2 linked regions of the Oreochromis niloticus genome follow. The protein of the gene in region 2 interacts with the protein of the main gene of each other region in a pairwise test. Links are inferred from orthologs where the notes say so. Each region holds a gene or a part of one and is shown on either strand. Other genes may lie near its edges.

Evidence for each region. The genes of interacting proteins can lie anywhere in the genome.
Region 1: the proteins of ccdc174 (region 2) and eif4a3 interact in binary tests that used the Homo sapiens proteins (3 or more experiments, as listed by UniProt). The two-hybrid records come from large-scale screens. The link is inferred for Oreochromis niloticus from reciprocal best matches to the Homo sapiens genes CCDC174 and EIF4A3.

Annotation. Positions count from the first base shown.
Region 1 is NC_031971.2:41,937,415-41,944,659, reverse strand, and holds the start of eif4a3 (eukaryotic initiation factor 4A-III), read right to left. Parts: upstream 3,054-7,245; 5' UTR 2,920-3,053; coding exon 2,766-2,919; intron 1-2,765. UniProt on the Homo sapiens protein: ATP-dependent RNA helicase. Involved in pre-mRNA splicing as component of the spliceosome. Core component of the splicing-dependent multiprotein exon junction complex (EJC) deposited at splice junctions on mRNAs.
Region 2 is NC_031970.2:23,072,903-23,080,290, forward strand, and holds the start of ccdc174 (coiled-coil domain-containing protein 174), read right to left. Parts: upstream 3,104-7,388; 5' UTR 2,993-3,103; coding exon 2,951-2,992; intron 2,727-2,950; coding exon 2,619-2,726; intron 2,560-2,618; exon of another isoform or gene 2,525-2,559; coding exon 2,424-2,524; exon of another isoform or gene 2,398-2,423; intron 2,341-2,397; coding exon 2,282-2,340; intron 2,216-2,281; exon of another isoform or gene 2,196-2,215; coding exon 2,048-2,195; intron 592-2,047; coding exon 496-591; intron 378-495; coding exon 241-377; intron 1-240. Other genes in the region: ghrl (appetite-regulating hormone), read left to right, coding at 3,544-3,570, 4,641-4,787, 5,170-5,247, 5,333-5,444, 5,548-5,567; putative deoxyribonuclease TATDN2, read right to left, coding at 7,024-7,164. UniProt on the Homo sapiens protein: Probably involved in neuronal development.

The sequences.
Region 1 (7,245 bases), on a different chromosome or scaffold from region 2:
ACTGAAAGGCTCTGTCCCCTTTTGTCTTCAGTCGTGTACGGGGAACAACTAAGAGACTCTGAGTCTGTGAGCGGAGATGACGAGCAGCAGTGTATTTTATAAGAAGCTTGGATAAATAATCTGGGGCCTGGCCATTTAGTGCGCTATATGTTAAAACAAGAATTTTAAAGCAAATTCTAAACTCTATTGGGAGCCAATGTAGAGAATATAAGATGGGAGTGATGTGAACACGTTTGGTAGAACGAGTTAATAGTCTGGCTGCTGCGTTTTGTATCGCCTGGAGGTGATGATGATTTATCCAAGCTAGTAAACAGGGAATTACAGTAATCTAAGCATGATGACACAAATGCATGAATGAGTTTTTCCAGTTCAGCTGAAGAGACCATATGTCGCAGTTTAGATATGTTTCTTAAATGATAGAAACAGGAACGAGACAAAGATTTTACATGAGAGTCGAGGCCCAGAGAAGAGTCAAATATTACTCCAAGATTCCGAATATTTGACTTGACAGATGGACAGAAGGAGGCAAGAACCTGACTGATTTTAGAATGTAGCTCAGGAGGAGCTATGATCATGGTCTCGGTCTTGTTAGTGTTTAGAACGAGGTAGTTGCTTGAAAGCCACTCAGAAACCTGGGTTAAGCACTGGACTAGGGTGGACAGCCTATCCAGCTGATGAGGCTTAAAGGACATATGGAGCTGGATGTCATCAGCATAAAAATGATAAGACAGGTCGCTAAAAGATTGAATGATACCAGCTAAAGGAAGCATATAAAAAGAAAATAGTAATGGACCTAAAACTGAACCCTGTGGGACCCCACAGGTCAGGGCAGCAATGTCAGAGGTGAACCTGTCAGTCCTAACAGAAAAGGTCCTGTCTGATAAGTAGGAAGAAAACCAGTCTAGGGCTGTGCGATATGACCAAAATCTCATATTCCGATATAAGACATTATCGTTCCGATAACGATATAAATCACAAAAATTTAACATTTTCTGTAAATTCTGTGAATCTCGGGCAGCTCGACTTGCGTGAAGTGTTTCCAGCTGGGCGTCGTGTACCTGGAGTCGAGTGTTTTAACCGATGCATGAAACTATATATTTTTAGACATAAGTTGTAACGGCCGCCGTTTTCTTTGTGAGTATTTATTACACGGCGTGCTGCGGGGAAAAGTCTGTTCTAATGCTTGAGTCTAAGGTTTATTTTTTAGCAACTGATGGCTCTTTTTTGCTTCTCATCCACAAACACGCCGCATCCTCTTTCACGTGATTCAGTTTATTTTGAAAAGTCTCAACAGGATCTTGAGCTTTATTGTGAAAGGTTTATGTGGAAAATACACAAGTGGACACGCGATAGTTTTACCGTCGCTGTTGCTAATGACGACGTATAAAAACAGGCGCTTGTCCATCCGTAGTGTGGTTATATTAAATATAAGAGAAAGAGACAGGTTCTTCTCTACTGGGTTCATAAACACAATAAACACAATTTCACACCAGTAAAAACACCGCTTCATGAAAGATCCTGGTGATGCTGTTGTTTCACTGAGTTTATAATCAGCTGATAACAGCAATGGCAGTCCCTCTAACATCTACAGTTAGAGAAGATCCCGGCTCTACCACACCACCAGCACTTTGAAAATACTGAATTAAGTGACAGAAAAATCTAAAAGGTATTATAATTATTTTACTGAAAGTTTTTCTAATGAGTTTAAAAGATACATCCTTAAAGACTTAGCTGGATCAAATCACCAAAATATCAGAAAAATATATATTTCATATCCAGTCCTTCCTAAAAAAAAAAGAGCTCAGTTTTAACATTTTATATGAGTTTTACCCAACTAATGATTTTATTACACTGAGATTTAAAGTGGATGTTTTCTGTGATGGGCAGAGATTTGTGATGCCTGCCGGCCGGGGAATCAACTCAGTCAGTGCTAAACTGGAATTTTTATTAACAATTTAATGGAAAAAATTTTATTGACAGCTCTCAGAGAAATCAGAGCTGATCTCGAGCTGTTTGATAAGTCTCTGAAGGTTGTTCGAATTAGCCCATAAATCATTTCTATTACTTAAATATTTTAATTGACTCTGGACTACAAAAATAAAAAATAAAAATAAAAAATTTAATTGAACATGATCAACAGATGAATGCTTCTTTGTTTGTACACATGTTCAATAAAGTTTTTGTTTCCGACACAACTTCCCGTGTAGGTACTGAAAAAAGTACCTGGTACTACCATCTAATGGAAACCTTAGAAGGCACTAATAGAAAAAGGCTACGTTAGGCGGTGATACCTGGTACCAGGGTTTGTTTTTAGTACCTACACAGCCGGGGATCCAAGCGATCTGCTATAAAAGACAACAACGAGGAAACCAGCAGCACATAAACTAAATTAAATACAGTTACAGTCAGTTACTACATTACACTGAGCCACTGGACCAAGTCGGGTCACACACCGGGTCAGCAGTCACAGAGTCCGGTCTAACCCGATCTAAAGTCAGGTCTATCAGAACATCTGCTTCTCCGCCACTGAAAGTGCGCAGACACGTTAGCAGGTCGGGCTGATGCTAATCGGAGAGCTTCTGGAAAGAACTAAAAGCCGGATAGTCAGTCTAACGGCACCCCTCCGGATACGATGCCCCCGGGGTCGAACTGAGCACAGTGAAATCTCTTTAATTCGCCTACTCAACACACTGCGCCGACGTTAGCTTTACAGATGACTAGCTGAGCTAGCTTTCCCCCGGAGGCCGCGCCGAACCCCGGTTTACCGTAGGCGTAGATCCCGCGGAGAAGGTCCTCCCGGAGACCCATGGTGTCGAAGGTAGGGGTGACGTCCACCTCCTCGCTGGTCTCGAACTCCACCTTGGTCATATCTTCCTCCTTCAGGATCCTCTTCCTACCCTGAGCCCCGGTGGCAGCCATGTTCCTCGGAGCTTTTAATCCGTCTGAAAGTCGCAGATGTCCGGATTCACCAGTCCGCGCTTCGCCGCGCTGCTAAGCTAACTGCTAACGAGAGAAAGAAGCACGTGTCGCTACGCCGATGACGTCCGCAGCGGGCGACGAGGATTTGACGTCACACCAGGAAAAAATAACAAACTTCCGGGTTCTTTATCAGCGTACTCGGAGGCCGATTATACGACACAGAATAAAACGTAAACCTGATCGAATGATGAGAAACTGATCAATACGTGAATAAGAAAGTGTCTCAGTGTTCGATCAACCCGGGACAGAGAGACTTTTGAAAACAAGGAATAACATCCTATGCACAATAACCCGAACTATATATACAAAACACACTGTTTATTTACACCGGATTGTATATTTGTACATTTGTTTCCTTTTTTTCTGTTAATACTGTTCATATGAATATAGTGCTGCAGAACTGTGCCCCCCCCCCACACACACACACACACACACACATACATACACACATGTTCACTGAGTTGGAGATGCTCTGTATCTGTATCATTGTACAACTGTATAGTGACAATAAAGGCATTCTATTCCATTAAACTGGACCCTTTTTTTCTCTAACTTTATTTCAACAGAGACTTTAACAACAAGCACAACACACGGAGAGCATGTTGTACAACTGTAGTGCAAAATTCTAACACAGTGGAAGAGTATGTATAATTAAACACACAGGATAGAAATACAGATTAAACGGGGAAAGTGAGAGATACAGAGACGCTGAATAATTAACTTAAGACATTAAAATATTACAAATATTCATGTTTTTAAAGCTTTCTTGTTGTGAGAGGAACAAACTGTTCTGTTTCTGTCCTGAGAGTGGAGAGCTTACATTTATGGATGTGGAATTTGATTAATGAGGGAAAAGCATGAGAGTCTTTCTCACTAAAGTCAGTAAAACCAAATAACACGTTTTGGTAAAAACGTACAAATTCTGATAAGATGCTGTCAGAGATGAAACTAACGATATGTTTCATAAAACCTGAGCAAATGTAAATGTTTCTGTATCGCTCTTCTGTTTTTGAAGGATTTAAACTGGACCCTGAGACACACTGACAGGTGTGATGTCATCACGTCAGCCGCTACACTGGGCAGCCTGCAGGTGATGATGTAATCAAACATAAACAAACCACAAAAGTGTAAACTGACAGTTAATCTGGTAATCTAATATGAAAGCGGTCACCTGTGCGGCCAGGTGACAGGAAGGAGCTGAGGACTGACGCTGCTGTTGTATAAAATCACCAAATACTCCGATGATTTTCACCCCTTTAGAAACTTTGTTACTCTGTTGTTTAAATGAATTTCTTTTAAACAATGTTTTTTATTAAGAGTTTTTTCTTTATACATATAAACAAAAGGAGAAGAGAAGGATGGTTTGTACATTTGGGCTCATTAGTCCGTACACTTAAGGCCGTAAAATTTAGGGAGAAAAGGAAAAAGAAAAATAAAGAAAAAAAATACACACACACATATAAATGTGTAAAAACAAAGTGCTTCCCCAGATAACAAAGTCCCTGCAAAATAATCCCATTCATTCCCACCCAGGTCACTGTACACTGTATTTCCACACCTGACATGAGGGAGGTGCACACACTCATGCACCTGAAAAATTCTTATAGATTTGGAAATGCATCAAGGAAACGACCCCGCATGACACGACATGAGGTCATACAACCACTGTGTGTGTGAGTGGGAGGGGGTGAATGATAGCTCCTGTCTTTTAGAGGCACCTCATTCCCACTGATGCCAAACAGAGCAAGATGAGGGTCGGGGGCCAGCGTCACTCTGAGAATCCTGGACAGGGTATGAAAAACCTCTGTCCAGAACTGAAGGAGACTGGGACAAGACCACTACATGTGGATCAGTGAGGCTTCAGCAGTTTGGCATCTGTCACAATATGGAGCGATATCAGGAAAGACACGAGATAATCTGGATGTTTAAATAAAGTTTATTTGTTTGTGAGGTCACACTGAAGCAGCTTTATTAAAAGAACTACAACTGCTAAATTGGCCGACGTTTCCCACCTGCCTGCATCACAGGAGGCAAAAGTACAGATGTTCTGTACTTCTTCTACTGCAGTAGAAGTACATGGACTAGTGCTGAAAATACTACAGTAAAAGTTAAAGTACTGATTCAACTTCTTTACTCAAGTAGGAGGGAAAAGGTACCGTCACAGTGGGGGGTGTGTGTGGTTTGGTGGGGGGGTTCACAGCAGTCTCGGCTGGATTCCATCCTCCACACCGAATTATCTCATTGTTGCCTCGAAAAACCAAAAACGTACTTAAGGTGACTAAGTTAGGACAGAGTGTTCACTGAGTACTAAGAACTGGACTTTTCTGAGTGAGCAACACTAAATGTTTTTCCATTGACATTAACAAAGGTCTACAAAGTTCTAAATTAAAAAACAATTTATGGTAACTTACAATTTTTAATTTGGCTGACTGTAATAGGGCAGCCCTTAGCGGCTGGAAACACAGTGAGATGGACTAAGGCAAGTGCAGTGGAACAAAGTATTTATTTGCCATACAGCTCTCCTTACAACAATTCACTTCGAGCTTCTTCACAGCACAATATATCCTCCTCTAATGAGGACCAGCAGCCTTAAATATGTTCAGCTGTCACAGACCAAACCATTATTCCACTCTTAGGTAAATTCTTAAATCCCAACCTTCCACCACAGTATACAATATATGAATTAGAATAAATAAATACATAAATACAGTTCACATTTTCATATTAATAAATATTTCACACTTTAATTTTACACCAAACCCAATACTATAAAAACCCAGAAACCCAAGCACAAAAAGATTCACCATACTCTCTTTACCAATGGTCTCTCCCGGAACCATTAAATGGTGTCTGGACCCCCGGGGAAACATTTGCCCAAACACCCTGAAGAGGACACAGACAAGAAAGGTGAGTAATCATTGTCTTACAAACACTTATTTGCGCCACTTTCCTTCCTAGATTTCACACACACATTTGCATTAGTTTTCCTTACTGGTAAACCTTAATCATAATCTCAATCACCATTCTTCTCTCCTGACAGACAACCACCACATTCCTTGATGAGGAGCAGCTGTGCAGGATCTGAAACAAGGCTACCAACTGATTTTAAAATGCCCAATAAATAATCAATAAATATTTAAACTTCTTGTGTGCAAATGTTTTACTGTGCAAATCCATGCCTAAAGTGCAATACTAAATAAAGTGCTTGATAAGGTGCTTTTAATAAAGTGAAAAGTGTGCTCTAAAGTGCTATACAGAGAATATAATATAAACTAGAAAGCGAAAATTTCAGAAGAAATTTTATGTGTGCCTATGCCGCTGCTAATCACTGTAGTTTGCCATTCATACGGCTACAGAGAGCAAAACTCAGAAGAGCAGCCATTCTCCACCATGAACTATGGTAAAAACAAACACCGCTCACGCTTCACAGATGACAGCTTACAGTTTTGTGTAAAGATGAAGTTACTTCATACAGCGCCGATTTGCAGACGCTGTGCACACAGGTTCATGAGCAGAAGTCTCATTGTACCACGGCAGACCCGACAATGTTTGCATGAACATGCTTTGAAGCATTACGTTATGGACCACTTTTCACACATGGTTGGTGTACCCACACAGGCAGCTGTAGCTTTTCAACTCATAGCCCAACACACACCCAAAGAACAGCCAAGAGAGCACAGACTTTACACCCGTGGGTCCACCTCCCCTGCAGCGGCACTGCAGACCACGCCCCGACACACACATCAAACACATAAAATAAATATTTATGCACTTTCGCATTCACTTTTTGTTTTTTGTTATTTTTACACAGTGTTCTGAATGATGAACAATGGTCTACAGCCAATCTTGTGTATTATTATACAAACTTTGGTTGTAAGATTCAGATAAGTATTTAATAAAAGCTAAATATTTTATATGAGAGTAAGAAAGAAAAGTATATCTTTATGTCCACCTTTCTCTGTTAATGCCCTACCTGGCCCCCTGGCAAAAGCTTTGCTAGATCCGCCCCTGCACAGTTACCAGCTGTCAGCTACACAAAAAAAGGAGCTTGGTGTTTACAGGGAGTGCAGAATTATTAGGCAAATGAGTATTTTGTCCACATCATCCTCTTCATGCATGTTGTCTTACTCCAAGCTGTATAGGCTCGAAAGCCTACTACCAATTAAGCATATTAGGTGATGTGCATCTCTGTAATGAGAAGGGGTGTGGTCTAATGACATCAACACCCTATATCAGGTGTGCATAATTATTAGGCAACCTCCTTTC
Region 2 (7,388 bases):
AAAAAGATTCAGTCCATAAATTCTTTTGGTATTTATTATTTGCCAAAGAATTCAGTGGCGATTAAGCAACACCCAGAAAGATCTATATTCAAACACTCAAACTCATCATTAACTCTATAGCCAACTATGAGGAAAGATGACACAGGCTCAATCCTAATCTGTACCCACAAACAAATCGCCTTGTAGCTGACTGAGTTAAAGACCACGTAAGGGCTCAAAGCTCTTTGCTGTGACACTAACCCTGTTGTCTGATATCCTCATAGTGAATCGGTCCAACAGGCCTTTTCATTGCCTCCTCTTCCTCCCTCTCCCACTCCTGCCTCTGCAGCTCTCGTCGCATGTCTTCTGAGAGTAATGTCTTGTCTGATGAAGCTTTTCTACAGGGACCAGGCATATCCAAAACAGTTAGTTTCAAATATTTCATTAACATCTTTGAAGAAAAAAAAAAGATCACACAAATCTTTAAAAAAAAAATTACAATAAATAAATAATTACCCTTTCCCTTGAAGGTCTTGGTCCATTTTCTTAAAGCCTGGCAGGTCTTTCTTCATGCACCGCCGAGATCGTCCCAAAGCATCCACAAAGTCCACCCTGCAGAGAAGAAAAATAGTTGTTTTTTGTTTTTGTTTTTTAAATATTGTGACAAATAACACATGCCCATGTGTTTATCTGTAATGTCAAAAAGCAGTGATAGAGTCTGATCACTCCTTCTATATTTGCAGGGCAATTTTTGCTCGCAGAGCATAGTGGCTGATACAACCTTTGTGGCTTCTCAATCATCCAGTTCATGGTAGACTAGAAAACTTTTTTTTAAAAAATGCAACTGAACTAAGTTTGTGAAGACGTCTCAGCTCTTATACAAGAGGCTTCTTCTGTTCTAAAAACAAAAGATGGCAAGCCCCAGGTATCTAACCCCTAATGGTGGTTTTCCCCTTTGGACGTGGTCTGGTTGCTTTTTTTCCAAGCTTTCTAGACATCTAGAAAACCATGGGATCACTGTTTGTTAACTTTCCAGGATTGTATTTTTGAAAGTAGTTTACAAACACTTGTGACGCATGTGCTGCAGATGGGGCTGTGGGAATGGTAAACAATGCAGCAGAAGCCACTCTCATCTAAATCATTGAATTCAGGTGTTCCAATCACTTATATGGCCACAGGTGTATAAAATCAAGCACCTCTGCAAGCAAACGCTTGTCACTCTCAGGAGCTCCTTACCACCTGTGCAACAGGTTCAATTGTGAAATTTACTCGCTACTAAATATTCAACACTCAGCTGTTACACAGTGGAAGTGATTGGGAACAGCAGCAACTTGGCCATGAAAGGGTAGACCATGTAAATTCACAGAGCAGGGTCAGTGGATGTTGAGGCGTACATTGTGCAGAGGTCGCCAACTTTCTGCAGAGTCAATCACTACAGACCTCCAAACTTCATGTGGCATTCAGATTAGCTCAAGAACAGTGTGTAGCAAGCGTCTGATGCAGTGGTGTGAAGCACGCTGCCACTGGATTCTAGAGCAGTGGTTTCGGCTTCTTAGTTCCAGTGAAAGGAACTCTTAATGCTTCTGCATACGAGACATTTTTGACAACTTCATTCTTTCGACATTGTGGAAACAGTTTGGGGATCGGCCCTTCCTATTCCAACATGACTGAGCACCACTGCACAAAGCAAGGTCCATAAAGACTTGGATGAGCAAGTTTGGAGTGGAAGAATTTGACTGCCCTGCACAGAGCCCTGACTATGAGCCAAGCCTTCTCATTAAACATTACTGTCTGACCTCACAAATGTGCTTCTGAAAGAATGGTCAAAAATTCCCATAAACTCACTCCTAAACCTGTGGAAAGCTAAAAGAAATGACGCTAAGCATGGGCCAGTATTATCTTAAACCCTATGGATTAAGAAAGGAATGTCACTCAAGACAGACCAGTGAATATTTTTGGCAATATAATGTATTAGCAAATACTGGAAAACATATAAGCCTAATATTGATATATTTATATGGTGCCAGCAGAAGTTGAATATTGATGAATGCAATCAATGTGAAGTTACCATTCTTCATCCGGATTCTCAGGAGGAGGGACGGGTGACGAGCTGAGTCGTTCCTCATCCTCTTTCTCCTTCTGGGCAAGTGTTTCTCTCTTTTTGTCAATAATCTTCTGGGTGAAGTCAACAAGGAACAGCCCTTCTGTCTCTTCATCTGATGAGTTACACAACAAGGTAAATACAAAGTAAGCACACTTTGACGCTGTTGTAGCAGACATAAGGCACAAACCGTTCACCAACCTGGAAAGTCTCCTTTAGTCATCTGTTCGTAGAGTCTCGCCTTCTCCTCCAACTTACGCCTGTTGTGAGAGTAAAAAAAAGACGTGAGACGTTTTGGTCTCCCTCCTGTTATACAGAAGAACTTCAACAGTACTGAACTGACCTTGCTGTATCGATGGTGCTCCGCTCCTCCTCCAGCTGCTCTGCATCTTTAGCAGCTCTTGCTGAAACACCAGCATTCTGTTTGCTCCAGATGTTTGGCTTCTGCAGAGGAACATGTGGAGAAGAAAATTAGAAACGTGAGTCTGTCATTGCACACCAGGATAAAAAAAAAGTTCTGAAATCACTCGTGCTGTACCTTATCTTTTGATTTTTCTTTGACTCCTGCTCCAGAAGTTTCTTGTCCAAGTTTCTCCCGTTTGAACTGCTCCTGTTTCCTGTACAGCTCCGCTTTAAGGTCCACTAGCTGCACGAAACAAAACCGAAATTTAAGATTTAGCTGTTCATTCTCTAAAGAAAAAACCTCTTACAAACATTATATATTTCTTCTAAATACAGTCCATGCTCGTTGTATGTGCTGCTAGCAACCCTGACAGTAAGTTAGCTATGTTTATCCGTATAATTAAGCTCAAACATCTGCAGCTGCTGTCAAATAAATATTTGAAGAGCTGCTTGTAACATTCAACTCACCGATGAAGCAGTCACGTCTAAAGGTTTCTTTTTTTTATCCATTTTTTCCCTCCACCTTAATCTCCAGTTTGTTGCTGTTAGCAGTCCGACTTCTTCGTTGGTGTTTCTGTTGCTACCAAACTGTCGCTTTACAGCCAACTAGTGGCGTCTCTCCGACACTGCACGCATTTCCGCTTCAAACGTTCAGTCTTACTTTCACCTTTTTTGTTGAAAAGTAACTATAAATTGAGCTGACTATTGTCTAGTCTAGATAAAGGAAAACAGATTTTATGAGGAAGAAAAAAAGTCGTGCAGTGGGAGTCTAGTTTTCTTTTTCTTTTTCTTTTTTTTTGCTCTATTGGTGATCATGTGCATTTGTGTGCGAGATAGTTATGAAAACTGCTTTAATTGTAACATGGCTATTGGCACAAGGTTTAGAACAATTTCAATATCTATATGAGGACAAAAGTGTCTGCACCTTTGTGGGGTAGAAGCTTTTTTGGATAAACTTACCATTTCCTGAAAATTAAACACTGAACACATTACAAAAGTGTTCTTTCGCAGTGATATTGAGAGTTTTCATCAAAAGATTGGTACAGTGCGTTCCTAAAGGCATGGACATGGTCAGCAACAATACTCAGGTAAGCTGTGGAAATTAAAGAATGATCACTTGGTATTGAGGGGGAAAAGCGTACACCAAAAATATCCCCTACAGACTGATCTGCTTTTATGAGACAGGATGGACACATCCATTCATACGGTTTGTTTATTTCCTGACCATCGTAATGTCACAGCCTCATTTCTTCTGCTGTATAGAAGCTGATAAGATAATTGTTCTGAGTAATTGGACACGCGTACCTAACAAAGTATTGAGTAACCATATGGTAGGCGTGATGCCTAAATAGGAAAAATATTAAATACAGATTACTTTCCTAAATCAAAGAAATGTAATTACACTTCTTGGAGTGTAGTAGCTCATTCAGCTGTCTGACTTATGCGAGTTTTTCCATTTCATATAAATTGTCCTTCATACTGTGTCTTATGCATGATGCTTGAGGCTTCATGTATTGCGTCACTCAGTAGGCTGTTGATTTAAAAACTAAAAACCGTTTTTGAACCATCACAGTTACACTGAAGGCACAATTACACAACACAAACATGTGAATGTCAATGAAAATCCTTGTAAATGGAATGCCACATGGCTGTGTCAATATCCGCTCCAGTTACTTTGGTTTATTTGTTTATTTCAGAGATATTAAAGAAGCATTCATTTCAGCTGAGCACTGATGTAATGATAACACTATGCTGATATAAATTTAGTGCCCTGTCTAATCAAACATTAGATTATTGCTAGCTTTACTACAGCTCTTGCCTGAGAGAGTGCTGCTGTAGAAGTCTGTGACTGCAATACTATTCTGTCCATAGCCCACTGATAAGATGTCCATCAGACCTCGTATCAGATCACAACACAGAAATGCCTACTTTGCTATCAGATTAAACATTTGAGGAGTCTTATGTTACCAAGATATGATCAAACAACATCCTGTTACTGTTGTGTTCAGTGTTTTTTTTAAACCAGTATGAAGGAGGATGAAAGGTATATAATGGTATGAAGACGGACGGAAAACAAAGAAAGTTAGATCCATATCAGAATCAGATGAAAAGCATCAGAGCTGGTTTTGAATAGACAGCATCATCATACTGTGTGCAGCAGATCCAGCAGTGGAGACGTTTTTCTTCAACCATGCTTCTGAAAAGAAACACCTGCCTGTTGGCTTTTCTCTTGTGTTCCTTGACCTTGTGGTGCAAGTCAACCAGTGCGGGCTCCAGCTTCCTCAGCCCATCACAGAAACCTCAGGTGAGATACTTTCTGTCCTGATTTATCAAATATTTTTTTTAAAACAACATTTTTATAAAATCTTTATGAAAACTTCACTCAGTTTTGGTTTCTTTTTGACACTTGTAATACACTATAAATATTTCATGCTTCATTTTTTTTGTTTTCAGCCTTTGAGTTTAAACTTATTATCACCCATCATAACCACCAAAGCTTTAAAATGGACTAAAAATTAAAACCCTACCAGCTATTTGGACTGTGAACTCACCAACCAAACAGTGACATTATTCTACATTGTACCTCACCCATGCCATTTGAATTAGGGAGGTTTTCTTATGTTAATTAAACCTCTTAAGTGGAAATTATTTCATAACAATGATGAGATGTCATTTTTAAATCACAGAACAAAGTGAAGTCCTCCAGAATTGGTCGCCAAGCCATGGAGGAGCCAAATCAAGCCAATGAGGACAAAACCATCACAGTGAGTTGGGAAAAATACAAAACAGATACAGCCCATCTCCCAGCAGTCAATCCTGCAGCTTTGTGTTTTTTTCTCTTCTGACCAGCTAAGTGCGCCCTTTGAAATTGGCGTCACTTTAAGAGCAGAAGACTTGGCGGACTACATTGTAGAGCTGCAGGAGATCGTGCAACGCCTGCTGGGAAACACAGAAACAGCAGGTTGTCCCTTCTTTCTGGTTTATACATTTAAAAAAGTGTTTCCTTTAAATATTACAAAACATATATATACATATATATATATATATATATTCTTTTTCCCCAGAGAGACCATCTCCTCGTTGAAGATCAGAGACTGTGTCAGTGTTTTCCATTATTAGCTTTAGTTATCTAAGTTATTAGACTGTGGTTAAATAACATGAAATACAAGATAAATGAATGATGCCTAAAACATTAAAATGCTTACTATGTGACCCTGTGTGTAAAATGGAACACATCAATCAGCCAAATAGCATTTCCTGGAGATTTCAGCCTCTTCAGATTATGTTCATCATCAAGGGGTTGGTTCAGCTGTCATTATGAATTTCACAGGGTGCAGCTGCAGGAAAAATGTCTCCCAAACACCCAAACGTTTAACTCACACTCTGACATTTTGCATTCATTATTAAAATTCCTGTGTCAGCAGAGAAATACGATCTAATGTTAGTCTGTCTCTTTAGGATTCGAGTATGCCTTATACAATAAAGCATCAATCAACCTTTTGTCTCACTGTATTATATTTAATGAGTCTTTAAATCAGAAGGTCTGTGATGCAACAGCTCATCCGGTTCATGACTCACAGGTTACCTGATGGGTGAATAACAATAAGTTTTCTTGGTGGTAATTAGCTGCACTGCAAAAACTAACAATTAATGAGCTAAAAATATTAAATAGATACAGATGCTTAGGATGCAAACACTTGAGTAAAGATTTAACTGGTACCTTTAAAGCTACAATCAAAAGTCTAAATGTCTTAAAAACACAAAAAGGAAGGAGGATGTTGAAGAACATCTTGTCCAAACCTCAGTGACAGAGTTTGCTCTGACCTTTTTAAAGCCTCTATAATAAGAACTGTGCTTAAAAAAAACTGGCAGGATGAACACATATCTGTTCACTCTCGATATTGTTTCTTTATTTCACACACTAACCTTTACGCAGATAATGGTTTTCAAGATTTAAAAACAGAAAAAAAAAAGAAAAGAGCACTCAGACAAATGTGTGTGACGAGCAGGGCGTCATTAAAGTGGAGTAATGGACCGCTCCCGCAGCCCCTCTCCTTTCCTCAATGCAGAATCGGCTTTGTTCAGTGTACACATTTGCTCCACTGTAAAAGACGATGCTTTCCTGTGCGCTAATTTAACAAAACATGTCTCAGAGAAAAAAGAAGCACTATTATAAAGACTTTTAATGCATCTCTACTGCATCACACCAAGGCAGCCAAACGTCCAGACAAACCAAACAAGCGAGCAATGTAAAACTACAGAAACACAGAAAAAAAACAACACAAAAACTGCTTACAAATTAATCTGTAATAACAATGGCATAAAAAATATTCAGATAAACAATTATACACTTGGATCTCTGTTAGACAAGAGATATTTTAATTCCAGTCAGGCTCGTCTCCTTTTTCTCTTTCAGGTTGTTTAAAATGAGATTTCTTCTCCACATGTCAACATCCATATATGGAGAACTGACAAATATAAAACAAAAACAGGAAACGTCTCTCTTCTTTCTTGCCAGTTTGCAGTGTTTTCTCTGAAGGTCATATACCATACAGCTGCGTGGTGTTGTTTCGGATGGTGTCAAGGACAGTGGCCATGTTTTCCCCCTTCAGTAGGCTCAGCTCCCGCAGAGTATGGATGCCCATTCCAGGATGGGAAAACTGGCAGACACCTTTCCCAACCTGTTAAAGAGTATGACATTCAAAAAGGTCAACATGGAGTCTCTTAATAAATAATACCTCGAATATAACAACTGGGTATTTGCTTTAAATACTGATAATAGTTTTAGACTCAATAGAAATAGAAATATGTGCCCAGTTTCACTCCACTCTTGGAGGGAAAAGTTTAGTTTCAGATCAACAAGAGGTCAAGCAGTCAAGGAACACAAGAGAAAAGCCAACAGGCA